2 linked regions of the Lytechinus pictus genome follow. The protein of the gene in region 1 purifies or fractionates together with the protein of each later gene. This does not show direct contact. Links are inferred from orthologs where the notes say so. Each region holds a gene or a part of one and is shown on either strand. Other genes may lie near its edges.

Evidence for each region. The genes of interacting proteins can lie anywhere in the genome.
Region 2: the proteins of probable ATP-dependent RNA helicase DDX27 (region 1) and pescadillo-like purify together in Homo sapiens (affinity purification with mass spectrometry; 4 studies listed by BioGRID and IntAct, counting the BioPlex papers as one, with this or other methods). This does not show direct contact. The link is inferred for Lytechinus pictus from reciprocal best matches to the Homo sapiens genes DDX27 and PES1.

Annotation. Positions count from the first base shown.
Region 1 is NC_087246.1:68,125,537-68,136,373, forward strand, and holds the start of probable ATP-dependent RNA helicase DDX27, read left to right. Parts: upstream 1-6,596; 5' UTR 6,597-6,643; coding exon 6,644-6,787; intron 6,788-9,701; coding exon 9,702-9,896; intron 9,897-10,837. Other genes in the region: monomeric sarcosine oxidase-like, read right to left, coding at 1-129, 1,727-1,796, 3,666-3,759. UniProt on the Homo sapiens protein: Probable ATP-dependent RNA helicase. Component of the nucleolar ribosomal RNA (rRNA) processing machinery that regulates 3' end formation of ribosomal 47S rRNA.
Region 2 is NC_087246.1:20,639,336-20,650,710, reverse strand, and holds the start of pescadillo-like, read right to left. Parts: upstream 4,494-11,375; coding exon 4,482-4,493; intron 4,129-4,481; coding exon 4,049-4,128; intron 2,843-4,048; coding exon 2,689-2,842; intron 1,680-2,688; coding exon 1,570-1,679; intron 1,160-1,569; coding exon 988-1,159; intron 645-987; coding exon 555-644; intron 1-554. UniProt on the Homo sapiens protein: Component of the PeBoW complex, which is required for maturation of 28S and 5.8S ribosomal RNAs and formation of the 60S ribosome.

The sequences.
Region 1 (10,837 bases):
TTTTTGGCGATATCTAGCCCACCAGTCTTGTAAACAAGCTGAACCCCGGAGTCCATCTCGGCTTCTCCCCACGCCTCGTAGGTGCCCCTTGCCAAAGGGATGTACTCACAGGCGTTGTATGAAAGACGACTGTTATCATTTTAATGTAGAATAATAATGATAATAACAATAAATGAAAAATAATAATAGCAATAATCACAATGATAATAACAACAATAATAGTGACGAATATTTTGCAACAGTCATACAGCGCTTGATGCAAGGTTTCTGTAAAGCCCCTTTCACAATTGACGTACGACCTGTTTACGACCACCTGCAACAGTTTTTTCTTGTTGTTGCACGATCGATCCCTTGGTGTCTTGCGAGCACTCGCAGTCGTTGTAGACGATCGCACAAACTCGAGGTGGTCGGAGGTGATCGTGACTGGTCGCATCTGAACTTTGAACATGTTCAAAATCCAAACGCGATCAAATACGATTGATTCACTCGCAACAGGTCGTACCATCGGTCGGGCGATCATCGTGTGAGTGTTGTTCAACGTTGTACGACTTGGTGCGAGAGGTGGCACAACTAAGTATAGTCGCATTTAGTCGACTGGAGGTCGTACAACACTTGCACATGTGCTGGAGACCTACAGAGACCAGTCTTGCGACTGGGTGCGATAATATGAAACTGTTGCAAGACCGATCGAAATTACGGCTTACTACATTCCACTACCGTTGCATTCGCATGTATGCGACCGTTCAGCCCCTTTCACAATTGACGTCCGACCAGTTTACGACTGCCTGCAACAGTTTTTTCTTGTTGTTGCACGATCGATCTCTTGGTGTCTTGCGAGCACTCGCAGTCGTTGTAGACGGTCGCACGAACTCGAGGTGGTCGTGACTGGTCACATCTGAACTTTGAACATGTTCAAAATCCGAACGCGATCAAATACGATCGATTCACTCGCATCAGGCCGTACCCGGGGTCGTACAGTACCATCGGTCGGGCGATCATCGTGCGAGTGTTGTTCAACGTTGTACGACTTGGTGCGAGAGTTGGCACAACTAAGTAGTCGCATTTACTTGACTGGAGGTCGTGCAACACTTGCACATGTGCAAGCGACCTACATGTACAGAGACCTGTCTTGCGACTGGTTGCGATAATAATATGGGCCATAAGACTGTTGCAAGACCGATCGCAACGGCTTACAACATTGCACTACCGTTTCATTCGCATGTATGCGACCGTTCCACTCGCAATCCCTCGTGCAACACTCGCATGTGATCGCACGAGCACAATAAGAGCATATGCGACTTACTCGTGCAACGGGGTTTACTGGTTGTTTTTGTTGTACGACAGTTGTTGCAACTGTGAAAGCCTCTGTGCGATCTTATGAGATGACTAGCGATTGATGCCTGTTGCAGCCTGTCGCACGACCAAAAGGTCGCAAATGGTCGTACGTCAATTGTGAAAGGGGCTTAAGCGATGCACACTTGACCTTGTTAGGCTGTATACTCTGATCGAGCGCCAAGTATTCAATGAATTATACTAGTGTAGAGAGCTTGAAATGTACTAATACAAATTTATATCCCACCAAAAGATGCAAATACCGTGGTGAGATTTGAACCCCGGACTATGTGCTTCAAAGTCCGGAGACTAATCCATAGACCCATCGCACTGTAGGAAAGGAATAAAGATTAAATAAGCATGCATGCATAACCTAATATGATTAATAACTTACATAATCCTCGAGTTATCTTGTGATCCTCCATTGTCATGCCCCAATTTGAATTGCTCAAGTCCAAGCACTCCTGATATATATATATATAAAGCAGTTTAAGCTGACATTGATAAAAAAATGAGTTATTAATTTTAACATGTGAGATACCAAAATAAAGCATTGCAGACAAGGGCTCATTTCAACACTTTTACAAAAAAGTGCCAGTTAGTAGTTATTGTCTTTTTTTTGCCGGGCTTTCAACCATTTATGATCACAAGGGGCGGATCCAGGATTTTTCTAAATGGGATATTTTTATTCGAAAAAGAATTGACAAGCAAAAACACAAAAAAATAAACATAAAGTTGTTTACGCCTAAACGATGGTGATTTATGTCAAGGGTAGACACTAAAAATATTTTTGTATGGCTGTCAAAACGGGGAAGGCCGGATGTGCCCGCCCCCTGCATCCGCCTCTGATCGTTGCTTCCATCTTCATCAGTTATTATATCCAACCAGCCATGGTTTCAAATCAAATGTAGATTTTGTGTAAAATGTGATCAAGAATCCTGTGATCCAACCTCAATGTCACCCATTGCATGGATCCAATGACCCACCGAAGGTTGGGGTTGTGAAAGGAAGAAAAGAAAGAAAGAAAACGAAATGTTTACAATATTATTCAAAAGACAAGACTGGATTTCATTTTTTTTTATTGAGAAAAAATGGGGAAACCCTTTGCCCCCAACAGAATATCCTGTGGTGCATTGCATTGTTTGTACAACAGATAAAATAAACAGCTAACTGCACTATAGCAACTGCTAAAGTACATAATGTGTACAAATAGTACTGCACATAAGAAGGAACTTCGGCCTACATGAAAAATTGATTGTAAACGTATATAGCCTTAGAGTGTTAGACAATTAGATATGACTTGTGTCAATTACAAAATAAATTACAAGCTCGTTCCCCATGATAACATTTATTTTACTTTCTTTTTCTTGGGATGAGGGTATATTCGAAATAATTGAAATGTGAGATAATATCATTCATAGTCCAATTTCCTTGCTTCTTTTGCCCAACCCTTAAGCTTATACGCCCCTGGCCTGGAATGTGAATGCTCAGTGTTCATTTCTAACGAGGACGAGTGAGAGGGGTTGATATGTACACTGACTGACATAGCAACACCCGATTCATTGCGCAATCCATTGAATGTTTTTTTTCTTCCCAAACCGGAAGCATCCTTAAAGGACAAGTCCACCCCAACAAAAGTTTATTTGAATAAAAAAAGAAAATCCAACAATCTTAACACTGAAAATTTCATCAAAATCGGATGTAAATTAAGAAAGTTATGTCATTTTAAACTTTTGCTTAATTTTACAAAAGAGTTATATGCACATCCTGGTCGGTATACAAATGAGGAGAGTTATGATGTCATCCACTCACTATTTCTTTTGTGTTTTATTATATGAGTTATGAAATATTCTATTTTTCTCCTCATTGTCAAGAGAAACAATGGTTTAATTCCTCCCTGAACATGTAGAATGAGCATTGTTTAATACTATATGGTTTAGTAAAATTGGTCTTTATTGTCAAATATGTAAAAAAATGAAATTTTGTATAATTCAAACAATAAAAAACAAAAGAAAAAGTGAGTGATGGACATCATCGACTGACTCATTTGCATGTCACTGAGTTATGCATATCACTGTTTTGTGAAATATAAGCGAAACTTCAAAATGCCATAACTTTCTTATTTTACATCCGATTTTGATGAAATTTTCAGCGTTATACTAGTTTGATTTATCTCTATTTATTCAAATCCACATTTTTCTGGGGTAGACTTGACCTTTAATACGTTCGATTTGAGCTACTTCAAAACCGCATACACGACACATGCATCATTCAGTAAATAATGGAATCCATATTTTTTGTACTGTCGCTATTATTGCTAAGATAATACTCACTTTTTCCCGCTCTCTTTGACAACCAGTAGGCGGTGGCGCTCCCGATCCCGCCACACCCCACGACGATATAATCAAACTCCCGAACATTTGACATGTTGGAAAGCTAGACTGAGTCTGTTTGGATTCTGGCTCTTACCTGTGAAGATATAGCTCATAACGTTAGGCCAAAGTATATGTTTAAATTAACCGGATAGCTAAAAAGGAAAAGGCTGGGCGAACTCTATAATCATTGTTGACAAGGAAAATAAAGCCAAGGTGAAGGTTTACTAAGGTTATATTTGAGCAAGACAATTATTCAGGGGCCGCAGAAGCGGGGGGGGGGGGCACTTTGAAAATCGTTCTGCAGCCCCTGTGATTGATTGTTTGCCTGATGTCATTTTGTGTCAGGTCTCTGGTGGGCTCCGAATCTCGGTCCGTCACCCTCCCCAATACAAGATAATCACAGAAATGTAGTCATTTGCTTAAAGGGATGGTCCAGGCTGGAAATATTTATATCTCAATAAATAGAGTAAAATTCACAGAGCAAAATGCTGAAAATTTGATCAAAATTGGATAACAAATAACAAAGTTATTGAATTTTTAAGATTTGCATTATTCTGGTGAAACAGTTCTAGGCATGTCTTTATGAATATTCATTAGGTTGGTTGATGATGTCATATCTCCACTTGTTCTTTTGTATTTTGTTATATAAAATTAGGTTTATTCAAAATTGTTCTACCAAGAACTAAAACAATTGGATTGAAAACTGATTAAGTGCATTAGTTATTTATTGCCGCAACTTATTTCATCATAATGGAGACACATCATTTACACATGTATAAAAAAAGGAAACATTTATGATTTCATGTAATAACATCAGAAAAAGGAAAGTGGGGAAGTGTCATCATCAGCCCACCTAATGAATATTCATGACGATATGCGTATAACTGTTTTTCACAAAATATAGCAAAATTTTAAAAATTCAATAACTTTGTTATTTGTTATCCGATTTTAATGAAATTTTCAGCATTTTGCTCTGTGAATTTTACTCTTTTTATTTAGATATAAATATTTTCAGCCCGGACCATCCCTTTAAGGGTATGGTTTCACACTTTCAGAATATGGAAAATACTTGTTTAGGGTGCTTTTCGAGACCCCATGGTCGCGCATGGTATCCACTCGTCAATTGAAAACTGATTAAGTGCATTAGTTATTTATTGCCGCAACTTATTTCATCATAATGGAGACACATCATTTACACATGTATAAAAAAAGGAAACATTTATGATTTCATGTAATAACATCAGAAAAAGGAAAGTGGGGAAGTGTCATCATCAGCCCACCTAATGAATATTCATGACGATATGCGTATAACTGTTTTTCACAAAATATAGCAAAATTTTAAAAATTCAATAACTTTGTTATTTGTTATCCGATTTTAATGAAATTTTCAGCATTTTGCTTTGTGAATTTTACTCTTTTTATTTAGATATACATATTTTCAGCCCGGACCATCCCTTTAAGGGTATGGTTTCACACTTTCAGAATATGGAAAATACTTGTTTAGGGTGCTTTTCGAGACCCCATGGTCGCTCATGGTATCCACTCGTCAATGGAAGTGCCCCCCGCCCCCCCCCCCCCGGGAAGCTGCATTCAAAGACAGCATAAATTAATCACCAAAGCTGTCACTTTTACCCAGTGTGCAGTATATCTTTCATCATAGCATGCATGTGTTATTAAATAGCTGCTACTTATGAGTATTACCTAGGGCCTTTTCACACGTGAATCTTGAATCGTGATCTTGACTGTGCCTTAGCGTTCGTAATTCTAATCATGTTTTATTTTGCTTTCACACGTGCCAAATATTCGTCATTAGCCTTATTTTGTACTGGAATCATCAGATTCGATTTTTTTTATCGTGTGAAAGGATGGAAAATCTAGCCGCTAGCATATGATTTGGGACCTTTTCACACGAGAATCTTGAATCATCGATTGTACTGATGATTCAAGGGCGGTAAACCTTCTCCTATAGATTCCTGGCAATTACGATATTCAACCGATTGAACCAACTATACGATGACGATTGTAAGAATAACATATAGTAACAGTATTATTTTATTCTGGCTATTTTTCAAAACAGCTGACAAATTTTGGCAGGTTTCTTAAACAAATCATTAATCTTCCCAGTCAGACAGTAATGTTTCAGGATTCAAGAGAATCTGATCAAGCTCAGTTTCCGATTCCACTATCAGCTAGGTCTATGACGATATTCTCGAAAAGCTAGGAGTTTCCAATAAGGCATTCCAATGGGGTTTAACAAAAGAGTGAACTTTCAGAATTAGCATAATTTACGTGAGGTTCAGTATGGACCGTTTTTTGTGTCGCCTATCATTTATGATGCGCTAGCTGTATGTGTGGGATATTTTTTTAATTTGTGATAAACAAATAAAATTCGTTAACTTGCTTTTAAATCGATTTTCATTCAATAAAAGTCATGAGATATCATTTTATCATGAAGGTAGAAAGAAACTTTGTTTATTAACTTTAACGGACGAATAAAATATGTTTCCAGGTAATTCATTAACATTGTGGTTCACATGGCGCATCATGATAAATGGGCGACACGAAATACAGGGGCCGCGGAACCGGGGGGGGGGCTGGGGGGGCTTCAGCCCCCCCCCCATTTTTTTCCAAAACCGTGTGCAAAAACGCAAAAATGACCATACGATTGTGATTTTCTGCATGGTCAGCCCCCCACTTTTGGCTCAGCCCCCCCCCCCCCCCCCTGAAATGAAACGGTAATATTGCAAATACCCTTTCGTGCAATCGGCCTTGACGGCCTAGTCTGCAGGCACAGACCCTGATTAAAACTTTGATCAACAAGTGTGTCTCCATGCAAAGACTAGTCATTAGCACATACAAAACTTGCTGAGCGAGAGGGCCTTCAGGTACACAAGGCATGGGAAGGCTGCAATGCTCAGAAAACCACGTGTACATGTATGCATGCATCATTCAGCGTTACCGGTACGTGTATGTATCGTCATCAACAGGGAGCAATGGACTTCCCATTTGGTCTAATCGGCACTATTGGAGAAGATGACAACGTGTCTATTGACTCTGAAGAAAGTAGTAGTGATGAAGAGGTAGAGTCTTTTTTTATGGAAATATTTTTGTCTTGTATTTATAAATAGGTGTAAATTTGTAATTTGCGATTCTACGTCAATCATTTACTCGTCTTCGGTCCCATGCACCGATATTCACGTGAGCTGGGTGAGGTGCCGAAGATCGGAGACGAAGTTCTTCTCCATCTCCATGACTCCAGACCCAGTCACTTTAGATCAGATCTAGGCATTGGGACCTCATTAAGGTTGAAAAGGCTTCCAGAGTAGTAGGACTCTCAACTTCAAGCACCATCGTACAAAATCCACTTATAATATATTGGATCAAAATTTTTACCTTGTTATAATAAAGTTATATTAATTTATAAAAATGTACTAGACTAGAGTCTAGAGTAGACTAACTTTAAGTTTAGTCTAATATGTTGGCATGGTTGGGATCTGTAAAAATGAGCATGCATGCGAGCGCTAACTTTTTTAAGATTTATTTAGAAAAGTGGAATGGCGCCAGGGGCATTGCAGGTGTGCACAAAAAATTTGTAGAATTATGTGCGCGTTGGCTAACTTTTCAGTGCGTTGCTGTCGATGTTGCTACTTAGTACATGATGCAGTATATGACGGCGGAAGAATCCTTGATTTCTGATTTTCTAGGAATGATCAATTCCAAATCAGGACAGTAAAAAGAGTCACCGAGCTAAGAGTAAGAGTTAGAAAGTAGAGTAAAGTGCCCAAATATCAGACACTTAAAGGACAAGTCCACCCCAACAAAAAGTTGATTTGAAAAAAGGAGAAAAATCCAACAAGCAAAACACTGAAAATTTCATCAAAATCGGATGTAAAATAAGAAAGTTATGACATTTTAAAGTTTCGCTTAATTTCACAAAAAAGTTATATGCACATCCTGGTCGGTATGCAAATTGGCAGACTGATGACGTCACCCACTCACTATTTCTTTTGTATTTTATTATATGAAATATGAAATATTCTCATTTCTCCTCCTTGTCAAGTGAAACAAAGTTTTATTTCGCCCTGAACATGTGGACTTACCATTATTTTAACAGTTTATGGTTAAGTTTAGTTGGTCCTTATTGTCAAATCTGTAAAAATTGAAATATTGTATTATTCAAACAATAAAAAACAAAAGAAATAGTGAGTGATGGACATCATCGACTCGCTCATTTGCATATTGCTGAGTTCTGCATTTAACTGTTTTGTGAAAAATAAGCGAAACTTAAAAATGTCATAACTTTCTTATTTTACATCCAATTTCGATGACATTTGCAGCGTTATGTTTGTTTGATTTTTCTCTACCGATTCAAATCAACAATTTTCTGGGGTGGACTTGACCTTTAAGCATAATTGGACCAAAACAAAAATCCAATCAATGAATCAAATAAAAATCATGTGTATTTCTGCATTACAAATGTTGAATATTAATGTCATAAAAAAAATAGAATTGAAAAAATATGGTAAACGGAAATTATATACTTAATACCAGAAGCTTGTCTTTTGCCAAATATAGGACGCAGTTTCCAAATATCGGGCATGTAAAGTTGTGCGCCGCAATCAATTTCGGCGATACCCCAAAATAATTGCTTGATTGTTAAAAAAATAACTTAAATCAACTGCGCAAATGCCAATTTCAATTATTACTATCAATAATTTTGATTTAGAAATCGGTAAATAATAATTAATTACTTACCAAATGGACCTCTTTCGGCTCTAAACGTCGGACCTCTTTCGGCTCTAAACGTCGGACCTCTTTCGGCTCTAAACGTCGGACATCTTCGCTCAACTGCGCGTGACTTCGTTCTGAAAACGAGCGCATGTGTCAACAGCACGCATTTCCAATTCAATCGGCCGATATGTCCGATGCTTGGGAGAGTGCCATATTTGGAAGGGTGTCAAATTTACCGCTGTGGGGAACCCCCGCAGCGGCAATTGCAGATTTTCTTGCGATAGATCGAACATGTGCGATCTTGGCAGCGATATTTCCAGCAGAAATCACTTCCCCCTTACGAGATTTTTTTGGTCATCGATCTTTTGGAGTCCATAATTAGCAAGGGTCATTAGTAACTTTGGAAGTCAAAATCATGGATTTTACCACTGGAATATTTTTTTTGAGCAGCAACCTGGATCTACTGTGTGTGCAGTTCAATAGTAGGTCTATTTCATGCATGCAAGTCCCCCGCGTCCGATATTTGGAACCGTCCAATTTTTGGGTTTTTTACTCTACTAAAGGAAAGGATTGTTCCAGAAAACAAGGCCAAGGACATGAAGGACATCTTACATAAACTAAGACAAATCATGTCTTGATGAATTGAGATTGTCCTTGTTGATGGGCATTTTTTTTTCACTTCCCCCTGTGGGACATAGATAGCAATTACGAGAAGTAAGAATGCTAAAATTAGATTCTGTGACCTGAATTCACTCCAGGTCCAGTGCACTGTCTGTTATGACTTGCTGTCTGCCTTAAAGATCTTGTTATGAAACACGAACTAGCGCTCTAATTTAATGTCCTCTATGTGTCGTTGCCTAATGGGCGAATTAACTTTCCTCTAGATTTCCTTTGTGGAGAAATGAAAAACAAAGACATTCCCAGTAAACAAGGACAATCCACATCTCATTTTCAGTCGGGGCCTCTACTGCAATTGGTCATCGCATTATGTTTGATTGATTGTATGAAACTTTGATCATATGAAATGTTTTCTAGAATCTAGACCTTATGTTTGTGGGTAGTTATCCCTGCAACATAGAATTTATAAAAACAAGAGCTAGGCATCTTGGAGTGTAACCTCTCAATACCGCATACAATGTAAGTTTTACTCTTCAAACTCCTGGCTATTTAAAACTGAGTTTGGTTACGTTAATGCTTTCTGAAAGTCTTGTCTTCAAGTTTTACAATCAAGCAATACCTTTGAATATATTTTCCTCATTAAAGGCTGCCCAACCAAAGAAGGTGACTGGTAAACAGAAGAAGAAAGCTGTGGATTTTTCTCAGGATTTTGAGTTCACTAATTCATTATCAGATGATGATGACCCGTGGTCAGCTGACCTCGTCTCTCACGCATCATCTCAGAGGGTTTCAACATCTTTAGAACAGAAAATAGCAAAGATAAGAAGAGACAGAAAAAAGGTAATTTCATTTTCTGCTTTCAATAGTGTAGTCATGAAGGTACATGTAAATGTATTTGGAAAGCCTCCAAAAGTGCATTTCATCTTTTGAGCAGAGAATAGCAAAGATAAGAGAAAGGTAAAATGTATTTGGAAATCCCCATAAGTACATCCTGTTGAAATTCTTTAAATTTGATGTTTATTTGTATATTAAAATGAATATCATGATTTTTTTTATTTTGCATGTTCATGTATGTATGATATCAATTCATTTATAATATCAATGTTTGGTCTTCTATCTTAATAGAAAAATATCTTTTGAATGTTTATTTTTTAGGGGGCGGGGTTGAAAACCTTCATAGTAAATTACATGTTTTCAGGAATCATGGCAGGCTGGAATAAGATGCGTTTCTCTGGTAGGCACATGACTCGTGTATTTTTGGCCTTGTAGTGGCAAAATATATGAAAAAATAAGAACAGATACAATTGCTATGTAGTACTTTAATCAGAAAATTTTCATCCATTAATAGATAAAAACAATCTCAGTGTTTGTATTGTGGGATGTGGTCAATTCCAGCGTAACGGACATGACGTTCAGACAAATTTTTGTAATTCAAAGGTAAATACAGTAGAATTAGCAGTCTTTTGATAATTGTTACTGAGCTTATCAGACACATTTAAGTATCAGTTACATACACATGAAATTTCAAATCGTTTCGTTGAACAGTTGCAGAGAAATTGCACTCTTTGTGAGCGTAACGGACATGACACGAAATGGACGAAGCATTTTTACCTCCTATTGCTTATCAAAATTCCTGTGAATTCTTAGATTGCATGCACCTGATGTTGGTGTTAATTTAACCTTAAGATCATGCTCTATCCATAAAATGGTGTTTAACAACAGTTTTGCAGTGCATTCTGTATTCATAGCTCAAAATGTAGCGTAACGGACATGACACACGA
Region 2 (11,375 bases), about 47 Mb from region 1:
TTTTTTTTTGCATTTGAGCGTTTTTGATACCATATTTAGGTAGCGCATGATGAAAATCCCCCACCACCAAAATTAATGAGAATCCGTCCATGGGGGCCTGAGATATGACCTCATGAATACTTACCGGTAATTAGCCCCATTGAAGCCAATGCATTATTCGCCTGGTTCCTAACTTTTAGAACCAGGCCAATAATACATTGAATTCAATGGGGTTAATTATGTATTCGTGAGGTCATAACTTGGGGCCCCATGAACCAATTCTCACCAAATTTGTGTTGTGGGGGTTTTTCATCATGCTCTACTAAATTATGGTATGAAAAGCGCTGAAATGCAAAAAGTAAAAATTGATGACGTCATACTTTGGTACTCTATTATACTTTCCCCGCAATCCCTGTCCTCTCCTTTTCACTTGAAAAGAATAAGGGGGTTGCGCCCCTGCCTCCTGCCCTGAAGCCTATGGCAGACCCTCTCACATTTCATAACAATATTTGCCTAAAGGATCTTTGAACACAGGTTTCACTGTACAAAACACCATAGCAAGAAGAAATACCAACCGAATATCCAAAGTTATACGGAATGAGCCATGTTAATAGCTGTCCCTCAATCTCCACCTGGAAGTAGATCCCTTTGATGGACAGGAAAACCTACATGGAATGAACAACACATCAAGATATAACAGATTTTGCAAATTTTATACTTGCCATCTATTCAAGTTAGCGATTATACCTATTGGCTTAATATAAGTTAACAGGTAAGTTCATACTTGACTTTTACATTTGACTGGTAACCTGTTTCTATGCCACATGTCATACCCAAATTGGTTTTCTGTCAGCACTAAGTGCATGAATCCTACTAGATACCCACTTACTACACCTGGGTCATGTGAGGCAAATACAGATTAATACTGGTAAATCAATTTCTAGAGATTTCTACTGATCCACAAAAACTCTAATTGTTTTTGTCAGAGACTTTATTCATGAATCTCACCTTTTTGAGTGACCTTGATGCGATGACATAGTTCATGAACTCTACGACAAGTCGTCTGCAGAGGGGGAGAACTTCGCTCTTCACTTTGGCATTCTTACGAAATGTACTGAACAATGAGCACAAGGTCAAAGGGTCTTCAAGGTCACGGAGAGCATCAACAAACGTTGGGTATCTGTCAAACACAAAGATCAAGAAAAATATTCTAATCCAATGATTCCAGTCCAAACTTCCTTAAAATACAACATTTAAACTCTTTGGGATAGCTGATGGTTCAGAATGGGACACTAATAATATTCAACAACGTAAATAATACTGAATGAATCATACAAGAGTGAAGTATTGGCCCTCAAAAGTTGAATATTTGTATGAGGAAAAGTCATCCAATACTATCATTCGTATCTTTAATGATTATTTTTCATTAGGCCATTAACATAAAATAGATTAAACCCCAAGATTTTAGTTCATATTCACATCTTCAATCTATATTGTTTGTATAAATTTCATTTGCAAATGTCATTGTAATTATTTTCGACCACTTTACTTTGTTCTGTCAAAAATGAAAAATTGAAATGAATTGAATACCTCTCTTTAACAATGTGATCGAGCTTATACTTGGGTTCATTGCGATTAAGTCTGTCCAATGATGTCCATTCTCGCTTGGCCTTAGCTTTCCTCACTTTCCTTACAAAAACCTGAAAACCCAGAAAGAAAAGAGTAAAAGAAAAAAAAATTGAAAGATTAAGATTAAAATCTGGATTCTAATGAATACTTGTACATATACATCAAGGGTCAGACAAACAGTGCACATCATATGGTAAATAAACTAAGAGTTATCACAATAAAAAGAAGATAAAATAAAAGAACTCCCCAATATATTAATTTGAAAGGAAAATCTATATATTCAATGTGAACTTTCGGGTTATTTTCACTTCATTAAGGAAGATTATGATGGTAAAAATGTCAAGTCCTGCAGATGTCCTGATATTCAAAATATGTTTGGGCAGAACATTTGTGTGTAGTCCCATCCAGCCATTACTAAGTGTGGGTCATGTGAATCAGCAAAAATAGTTAATCGATACATATTTCAATGATTTCAAAATCATACAATGTCCCACTCATTAATATTTTGGGACATTATAATCAGTATTTCCTAATCACTTTTAAACAGTTTTCTCTGAAATTGGACCTTCAACACTAAACAGGCCCTTTTTTGTCTTCAAATACAAGCATTCGTTCACCTAGACACCAATACCAATTTAACAATCTCTTTCCACATTCTTTTCATGCTGACACTCATACTATTTTGTGATAAATTTGTATTATACATCTTTCACATCTTGATTTTTTATCCTCTCTGAACTTGACAGGCAAAGATAAAATAAAATACCCAAAGAACGAAAAAACAAATGTTTTTCATCAGGCCTTAAATACTACACGGGTGTAGCATCAAAAACACAAGCAGTCGTGACGTGAAATTAGCTCCTGAACAATTCATGTTTGAACTTCTCTGAAGGTACAGGATAAGGGACATGCTTGAATTTTCTGTTCAGGATTATTTTCAGGAGGCAGAACAAGGTGTTTGGGGCAAAATTGTGATAAAATTATCAGAAATAATATCACCCTTTTTTCCCCTTAAAAATAAGATTGAAAATCATCATTCTGTGAATATCAATCAATACATTCTTTGAAAAGCATACATACCCTATGATCCCTGAACTTTTGAACGATGGGTTCATGAGCCAAAAATTGGATGTCTTTGAATCTGAAATAGGTTCTGTGAAGTTTCTGCCCCTTTCCGGCCTTCTTGATACTCTTTGGTTCAACCGGATACACCCCTTTCAGAATACACAGCCTCCTGTAAAGAAAGACAGAAAGATAAAGATATATAGCAAAAGAAAAAATAACAAAAAAAAATATTCAATGGAAATATTCATTAACCATTCCCTAAAGGACAAGTCTACCCCAACAAAAAGTTGATTTGAATAAAAAGAGAAAAATCCAACAAGCATAACACTGAAAATATCATCAAAATCGGATGTACATGTACAATAATAAAGTTATGACATTTTAAAGTTTCGCTTAATTTCACAAAACAGTTATATGCACGACCTGGTCGGTATGCAAATGAGGAGACTGATGACATCATCCACTCACTATTTCTTTTGTATTTCATTCCATGAAATATTCTAATTTTCTCTTCATTGTCAAGGGAAACAACAATTCCTCCCTGAACATGTGGAATGAGCATTGTCTAATAATATATGGTTCAGTCAAGGTGGTCCTATTTGTCAAATATGTAAAAAATTAAATATTGTATAATTCAAACAATAAAAAACAAAAGAAATGGTGAGTAATAGACATCATCGTGCATTGTGCATATCTGTTTTGTGAAAAATAAGCGAAACTTCAAAATGCAATAACTTTTTTATTACTTTTTTATTTCACATCCGATTTTGATGAAATTTTCAGCGTTGTTTGTTTGATTTTTCTCTATTAATTCAAATCAACATTTTCTGGGGTGGACTTGACCTTTAATTATACAAGGATGTAGACTGGTCAAATTATGTTAATGTCAAAGGAGCCCCCCCCCCCTCCTCCACCAACAATGAATTAGTCCTATGATAATTTTCAAAAGAGGTATGCCCTGGCTGACGCAACATTTCAGTCTTCAAAATGAAATTTTGCCTGATTAGTCAGCTTAAAAAAGACTTTCTTTACAGGGGCCTTTCTTCTTTCATGTATTGTATTCACTGTATATGTACCTAACAATGTGTTTGGTTCTCTTGTTACTTCCAAGTGATATTCTTAACAATCATATTTGGGGGGGGGGGCAATGGCTGATAGCCCTCATGTTTGTTTATTTGATTTTTTTTTCAGTTCTGGATTTGCAGATATTCCAGTTTCAAATGTGGCTATCCAAGATGGATCAAACATCATCATTTACTTTATTCAGATTAAAACATTTTTTTTAGTTACATATTATCTTGGCTATTTTTTAAGTAAAAAAAAAAAAAAAATCAAATTTAAGTGACATAAAAAAGTCAAATTACTTGACTCTCACCTGAAATTGACAAGATTTAACTGGAGTCTCTTCACAGCTGATGCTCTTGTTATGAAGCTAGTTGCTATACCACTCTTGAACTGTAAAGATTAAAATACATGGTGTGAAAAACATTTTGATCCTAGATTTGACAAATAAGCATCATTCTGTTTTTCACATTGATGTATTGCATATAGCATTCAATGTACGCTTTGCTTATTACATGACACCATCCAGCCATGATCGCAAGCTATTATTAACCTATGAATGAAATTATAGTAAACATGTGCATCACAAAAAGACACAAGTTCAACTTCAAAGTCAATGGCAATGCCGTTATCACTGCACTGTTGATAGGTCCTACTTAGATTTGATTCAACACCTTTCGTAGGGATCCCAAAACGAAAATCTAATTTTTTTAATCTATGTTTAAAAGCATTGAAAAGTACCTCACCTGAATCAGCATATTAAAAAACCCCAAGTGAATGACTTTTAGTGTTACAAAGAGATCTAATTATCTGTTAATCTGAGGCTAAAGTGGGTCCGAATTGTGACAGATTTGTGTACAAATTTCATTTTGAAATTTCGTCGACACGTATTCTCAGAGCTCGGCACTGAACGAGGGATTGTGGGCGTGTCCTTTCTCGCCTCGGCGTATTGTTACCCAAATACACAACTCGAACGAAAGTGCGTTCACCGTCCCAGTTAGTCTCGGATCCGAGCTTATCCAAATAAACAATGATTAAATAACAACCAAAAATAGAAAGAAGAGAAAAGAGAAAATAAATGGCTCAAATGCAGTCGTTTGGTGACGGATACTGTATGCTCTGACCTCTTGCTGATTTAAGGATTAGATATGACATAAGTTTTATGCCATGATAACTAAAGCATGGGGGGGGCAGGGGCACTCTGACTTTCAAAATAATTAATTCTTTAAACATCTATATCTAGGCAAGGGAGGGTCCAGGATTTTCCAAAGGAGAGGGGGCACTATTAGCGGCGGCAGTCAAAAAATTAAGGGGGGGGGGCACCAACATTTTTGACAAAAAAAGGGGGGGGGGACCGAAAAAAAAAAATTAGCCAAAAAAAACCCAACAACGTCCCCCATAGGCAGCGGGGGGGGGGGGGGGGGGGGGTCGTGTCCCCCCTAAATTTGAGGTGGGGGGACAATCGCCCCCCCCTAATTTTTTTTGTTGATAACCTTTTGTTTATTTGCTTGTAATTTTTTTTTCCTGCCTGCCCCCTAAATTCCAGTGGACCCCCCTAAAAATTTCATGTGGTCTCCCCTAAAATTTGGGTTGATAAACTTTTTTTTTTTTTGGGGGGGGCTTTTCACAAAATTTTGGTGGTCCCCCCCCCCCCCCTAAATTTTTGCTTTACGTTGCCAATGGTCCCCACCTCAAATTAAGGGGGACAGGGCCTATGGAGGCACATTTTCCCGATGCAAATTTGATAAGCATTACAAAATGTTTTTAAAAAAAATTCAAAATTTCGTCCCTAAAAATTGACAAGCAAAAAAATTGGGCCTATATATATCCTCACTTTCAAGGGGCATGCTTGGGTAAAAAGGGCATGTTTATGTTACAAATTACAAATTTGGCTCTCGATAATTATGCCCCTTGGATCCACCAGTAATCTAAGTGGAATTTTTTGTTTTTAGTTTTGATATGGCTACCTTCTCGGAGGGCGTCCTCGCCGCGGTAGCTGGATAGTGCTGCAAAAGAGTAGGCCTTATACATCTTTTGCAGCATTAACTGACACTCCGAGACTTATAATTTTACCTTATACTTAAAAAATGAATAATACAAAATAAAACATAACACTTGTTTTTGGAGTAAGTTGATGTCAAAATATATTCAGTCTGGGGCATGAAGACTTGGAACTCTGCCCCATATCATTGTACTTGCCTCGCTCGATTTGTATCATAAAAAAAAATTAAAAATGTTTCCACATTAAAATATACATCTAAGTACAATGGCCAGAAATAATAGTACGAATAAGCTAGCAGAATTTGTATCATACCACCCATATTATTGAACGCCAACGAAGGCAGTTTCTAAATCCTGTTTGCTTTATCCCACTTTTCCACTAAGATTTATCCCTTTTGCGTGTCATATGAAAGCAGTTTTGTGCGCAGATCTAGCTTACCGGTAGGACCACATGCAGTCATTAATAGCTCTCTTTAATTTTTTTTCAACAAATGATGTCTCATGCTTTCGTTAAAATTAATAAATTAGAATCCTTGTATATGGCCCTGGGAAGTGGGGTGCTCGGGTTGTGACCCCCAAGTTTTTTTTTGTTTTTTTTAGCTAGTGGTGCGTTTTTTGTACACGTATATAGTTTAAAACAGGAAGAAGAATGACATTGATTTTTGTACCGCATTATTTTCATTAATTTATTGGTAGAAATACCAAAAAAAAGTTTTGAAAAAACATTTTTCAAAACTATTCCGCGGCTCCTGGAAGAATGGAGAAATGGACGGAAGGAGAGAAATAAATAGGATGAAGGGGTGGATCCAGCTTTCGCCAAAGGGGGGGGGGGGGGCAAATTTTTTTTCACCATTATTTTTCCCCAATCGGCCGCGCGAATATGATTTATATTTGTTTCTTTGAAGAAATGTCACTTCTTAGCTTTTGTCTTATAAATCAACATAAATATATAATATCATAACCCTTTTTATATAGTGCGAGCTAATTTATAAAAAAAAAATATGTTTTTCCCCAAAGTTTGAAATTTCTGGGCAATGTTTATCATGAAAAAGACGTGTATGCAACTAAATAATTACTAAGAACGCGAAGTGCGAACAGAATTGAAATCATAGGCACTTTTTGTAACTTAAACAGGATAGGTATATAACTTAGCAATTGATGCGAAGCGCGAGCACAAAATTGGAAGATTTAGACCTAAAAACGAGACATGTCTAGTCATGTCTTTTAAATCATCATGGAAAGGATGTTAAATTGCCGATCTTTGTTACTTTAATAATGCTCGCGCAAATTAGCGAGCATAAGATTTTTGTATACGTTTTGAACTGATCAAAAAGGTACCTGTTAAGGACTGCTTATTTCACTTAGCCATGGAGACGTTACATATTTCAACAATAAAATAATGCAAGCGCAAGCCGATTTTTTTTTTACACTTCTACATAAAGAATGGAAAATTTTAATCAATTATTGTGACCATGAACAGGATCGTCGTTATAAAACAATTAATGCGAGCGCGAAGCGCGAGCGGAAAAAAAATCGACATTTAAATTTTAGACCTAAAAAATGGGACACTCTATTCCTGTTTTGTATAATAAGGATGAGTAATAGGGGTTCTTCCTACATAAAAAATGCGAGCACAAAGCGCTAGCAGAATTTTGTATTTCAGAAACTGGATAATGGTTGAAATACTAACAAGTTGAGTATCTAGATAGACATGCGAATCAGGGTACTAATGGATAATTCGTTTTTCATTCCTGATTTTCGTAGAGCAAAAACGGAAGTCAACCTCATGGATTGGTCTTTGAAAACACAAAAACGAAATCACAACGAGAAAAACCCCGTTGTGATTTCATTTTTGGAGATCAAAAACAGAAGAATGAAATCAGAAATACTTTTGGTCCTCTCTGATACCTCATTCTATACCTGTGTTTGTTATATATTAAAAACAAAATCAGAACACGCTTTCTACCCCCTGATTCTGTTTGGAAAAACGCAGACAGCGAAAACGAAATCGGGTAGTTCGCTTTCCACTTCCTGCTCTCTGATTTCGTCTTTCGCACAGCCAACAGCCAACACACGTGCACGCAGTGCAGTGCATGCATGATAAGACCACGTGCAACAAAAATTCACTTTAACATGGCTTTTTCCAGCGTTTTCGGACCTTCGCAGACAGTGGCGTAGCTAGGATTTTTTCCCGGGGGGGGGGACTGGGGGTCCTTGCTTTTTCAGGGGGGGGGGGGGCACCGGCTATTTTTTGCGGTGTGTGTGTAATAAAGTAATTTTTCAAGAGGCCCCCATGCAGGGATATCCCGACGGCCTAGCCAGGGTAACCACGTACCCTAACTTGTAGAACTCGACTCGGGCAATAGATAAACACTGACTTAATTGACCCGGCGCATGCACATTTAGGGGGCTCAAATTAACAAAATTAAAGGGAATAAAGGGCTATTTATCGCATTTTTAAAATTAAAATAAGTATTTTTCAAGGGGCACCCAGGGATATCCCGACGGCCTAGCCTGGGTAACCACGTACCCTAACTTGTAGAACTCGACTCGGGCAACCAGATAAACACTGACTTGACCCGGCGCATGTACATTTAGGGGGCTCAAATTAACAAAATTAAAGGGAATAAAGGGCTATTTATCGCATTTTAAAAATTAAAATAAAGTATTTTTCAAGGGGCCCCCAGTGATATCCCGACGGCCTAGCCAGGGTAACCACGTACCCTAACTTGTAGAACTCGACTCGGGCAACCAGATAAACACTGACTTGACCCGGCGCATGTACATTTAGGGGGCTCAAATTAACAAAATTAAAGGGAATAAAGGGCTATTTATCGCATTTTTTTAAATTAAAATAAAGTAATTTTTCAAGGGGCCCCCAGGGATATCCCGACGGCCTAGCCAGGGTAACCACGTATCCTAACTTGTAGAACTCGACTCGGGCAACCAGGTAAACACTAGCTTGACCAGGTGCATGCACATTTAGGGGGCTCAAATTAACAAAAGTAAAGGGAATAAAGGGATATTTATCGCATTTTTAAAATTAAAAGTATTTTTTCAAGGGGCCCCCAGGGATATCCCGACGGCCTAGCCAGGGTAACCACGTACCCTAACTTGGAGAACTCGACTCGGGCAACCAGATAAACACTAGCTTGACCCGGCGCATGCACATTTAGGGGGCAACTGGTTAAAGCATCTCATGAGCAGATCTTATTCATATATTATACTCAGTCCTAAATCCTCCGCCAATAAAATAGCTCCGAAAGCTGAGTGACACCTGTATTTTTCTTTTATTTGCACAAAATATGTTCAATGGTTGCCCATTCTCTGTTTCTAGAATCAGTCTAATCATTATACATATTCTTTTTTGTAATCAACTTACAAATTAAAAAAATGAGAATGGGTTGGGTCGAATTAATATCTTCAGCCTTCTGTTGTAGATCGTCATCTCTTGGAGAAAAGATGGGGGCGTATATCGATAGAAAACGTATTGTCAAAATATAAAATATGAGTATAAAGCTCCTCTAATCTTCGAATAATTCTCATGAGACATTTTCTTTTGCACGTGTAGCCTTCAATTCAATTAATTAGCAACTTAATATAATATGTGATGTATGTATCCGCGATTTGATTTAAAAAAAATGGCCATCTGCAATGTTTAAAAATATCACGAGGTTCTGGGGGCTCCGCCCCAGACCAGTGGCGCCACCGAATGGGGAGGCCCCAGTGAGTTGCCCCCCCCCCCCCCGAAATTTGAAGAAACAAAATGTATAGTAAACGTTGTCATAATACTCCAAAAATGTTTTTTGTTCTTTAAATTTTAAAAATATTCTCATCCATTCACCGTTAGCATTTAGATCCCAACAATTTTGGTCACTAACATAAATCTTTCAGGCCATTATATAAAATTCAAAATGTAGCTCGCGATACGCGCTCGCAGTTATTAATGATTATCTGTTCACATGGGGCTTAAAAATCAAATGTTATTAGAGTTTTCATTATTTGTTTTAGCGAGATACATATCCTGCGTATTCATAATTTCCATAGAGGATTTATTTTCAGCGATTTAGATAGCCATTCATTTTATAATTTAAAAAAAAGCTTAGAACGGCCAGGTATCATCCCGGATATCAAAAATTTTCAGCTCACGCTTCGCGCTCGCATTATTCATTTGGTGAGATATCATCTTCATGACCCAATTAATGCAAACAGCTGATTCTTAACAGTTCCCTTTTTAAATCAGTAGGGACTGTATTTGCAATAAAATTAGCTCGCGCTTTTTTTTAAAATGTGTGCCATCCCCCCGGCCCCAAAATGTTTGTTTGCCTCCTCCTAGGTTAAAAACCCTAGTACCGTCATTGCCCCGGACCCGAACCGCATAGCACTGCCCCCCCCCCCCCAAAAAAAAAAAAAAAAAAAAAAAAAAAAGTTCTACAACCGAGAAAAAAAAATGATAAAAGGAAAGAAAGAAAAGGAAGAGGAAATATATGTCATTTTCTGCATACCATGTCAAAATCAATCTCAAAATTGAAGGTGATTTTTATTCTTGCTCGCTTCGCTCGCTGGAGACTTATTATTAAGCAAATTTTTGCTGCGTGCACCATGGTGTGCCCCCTCTGTTTTGTTCTTATCTCGCATTGAGCTTCGCACTAATGCTCGGGGCATAATCATAAAATATCCTGTTCATACAATGATATGACCCCTCCGTTCTCCCTTCTCTTTCTCTCCCTTTCCCCCTCCTTTTCTTTCCTATCTCTCCCTTTCGCTTCTCTCTCTTCTATTTTGTCTTCTCTCTTTCCTTGTTGTTTTTTACTCTACCCATCGGCAGCACTAAGGGATGGGGGGAAAAGTCAGGACCGTGGTTCCCCATGCTTGAAAAAGCCCGTATTCCTTTACTTTTGTTAATTTTAGCCCCCAAAAGGTGCATGCAACCAGTGGCGTAACAGGCGGGGGGGCAAGCTGCCCCCCTTCCCCCTGGCGGAGTTCACCGTGAAAATGTTAAGAGAAAAAACGGGAAAAGGAAAAAAATAAGGGGAGAAAGAAAGAAAGGGAAAGGAAAAGGAAAGGAAAAAAGATGAAAGGGGGAAAAGGGAGGGGAATAGAAAAGGGTAAGGGAAAATAAAACTAAGAAAAAAAAGGGAAAACGGAAAGAATTTGGAAAAAGGAAGGAAAGAAGAACATGTGAGGAAGAACAATTTTCCCAGATATACACATACATTAGCATGATTAGTAAGACAGGGAAATGAATTAAAGATGACAAAAAGGCAAACAAAAGCGGGAAATTAAGGTAGAATGGAATGAGGCAAAATCTAAATTGGAAAATAAAAAAAGGGACAAGATATTATTACCGGGCTGCTGAGGATTGAAGATAACGAGCGGGAAAAAAAGATGGATGGTATATAGCATAATTTCGTATGAAAGTCTATTATAAACTTGCTAAATTTTCATATTCGGCTACCGTATATTTACGTCAACACTTCCTCAATTTTCTCTTCAGATTTACCCTTTTGCATTACTAGTCATGAAAGAATCATCTTAACTGGACAGATCGATTCGAATCCTGGAGGTATATTCTGTTTAACTGATATTTTTAAGGTGGATAATAATTGAAACTGGTGAGATTTTTTGACACTTCGTGA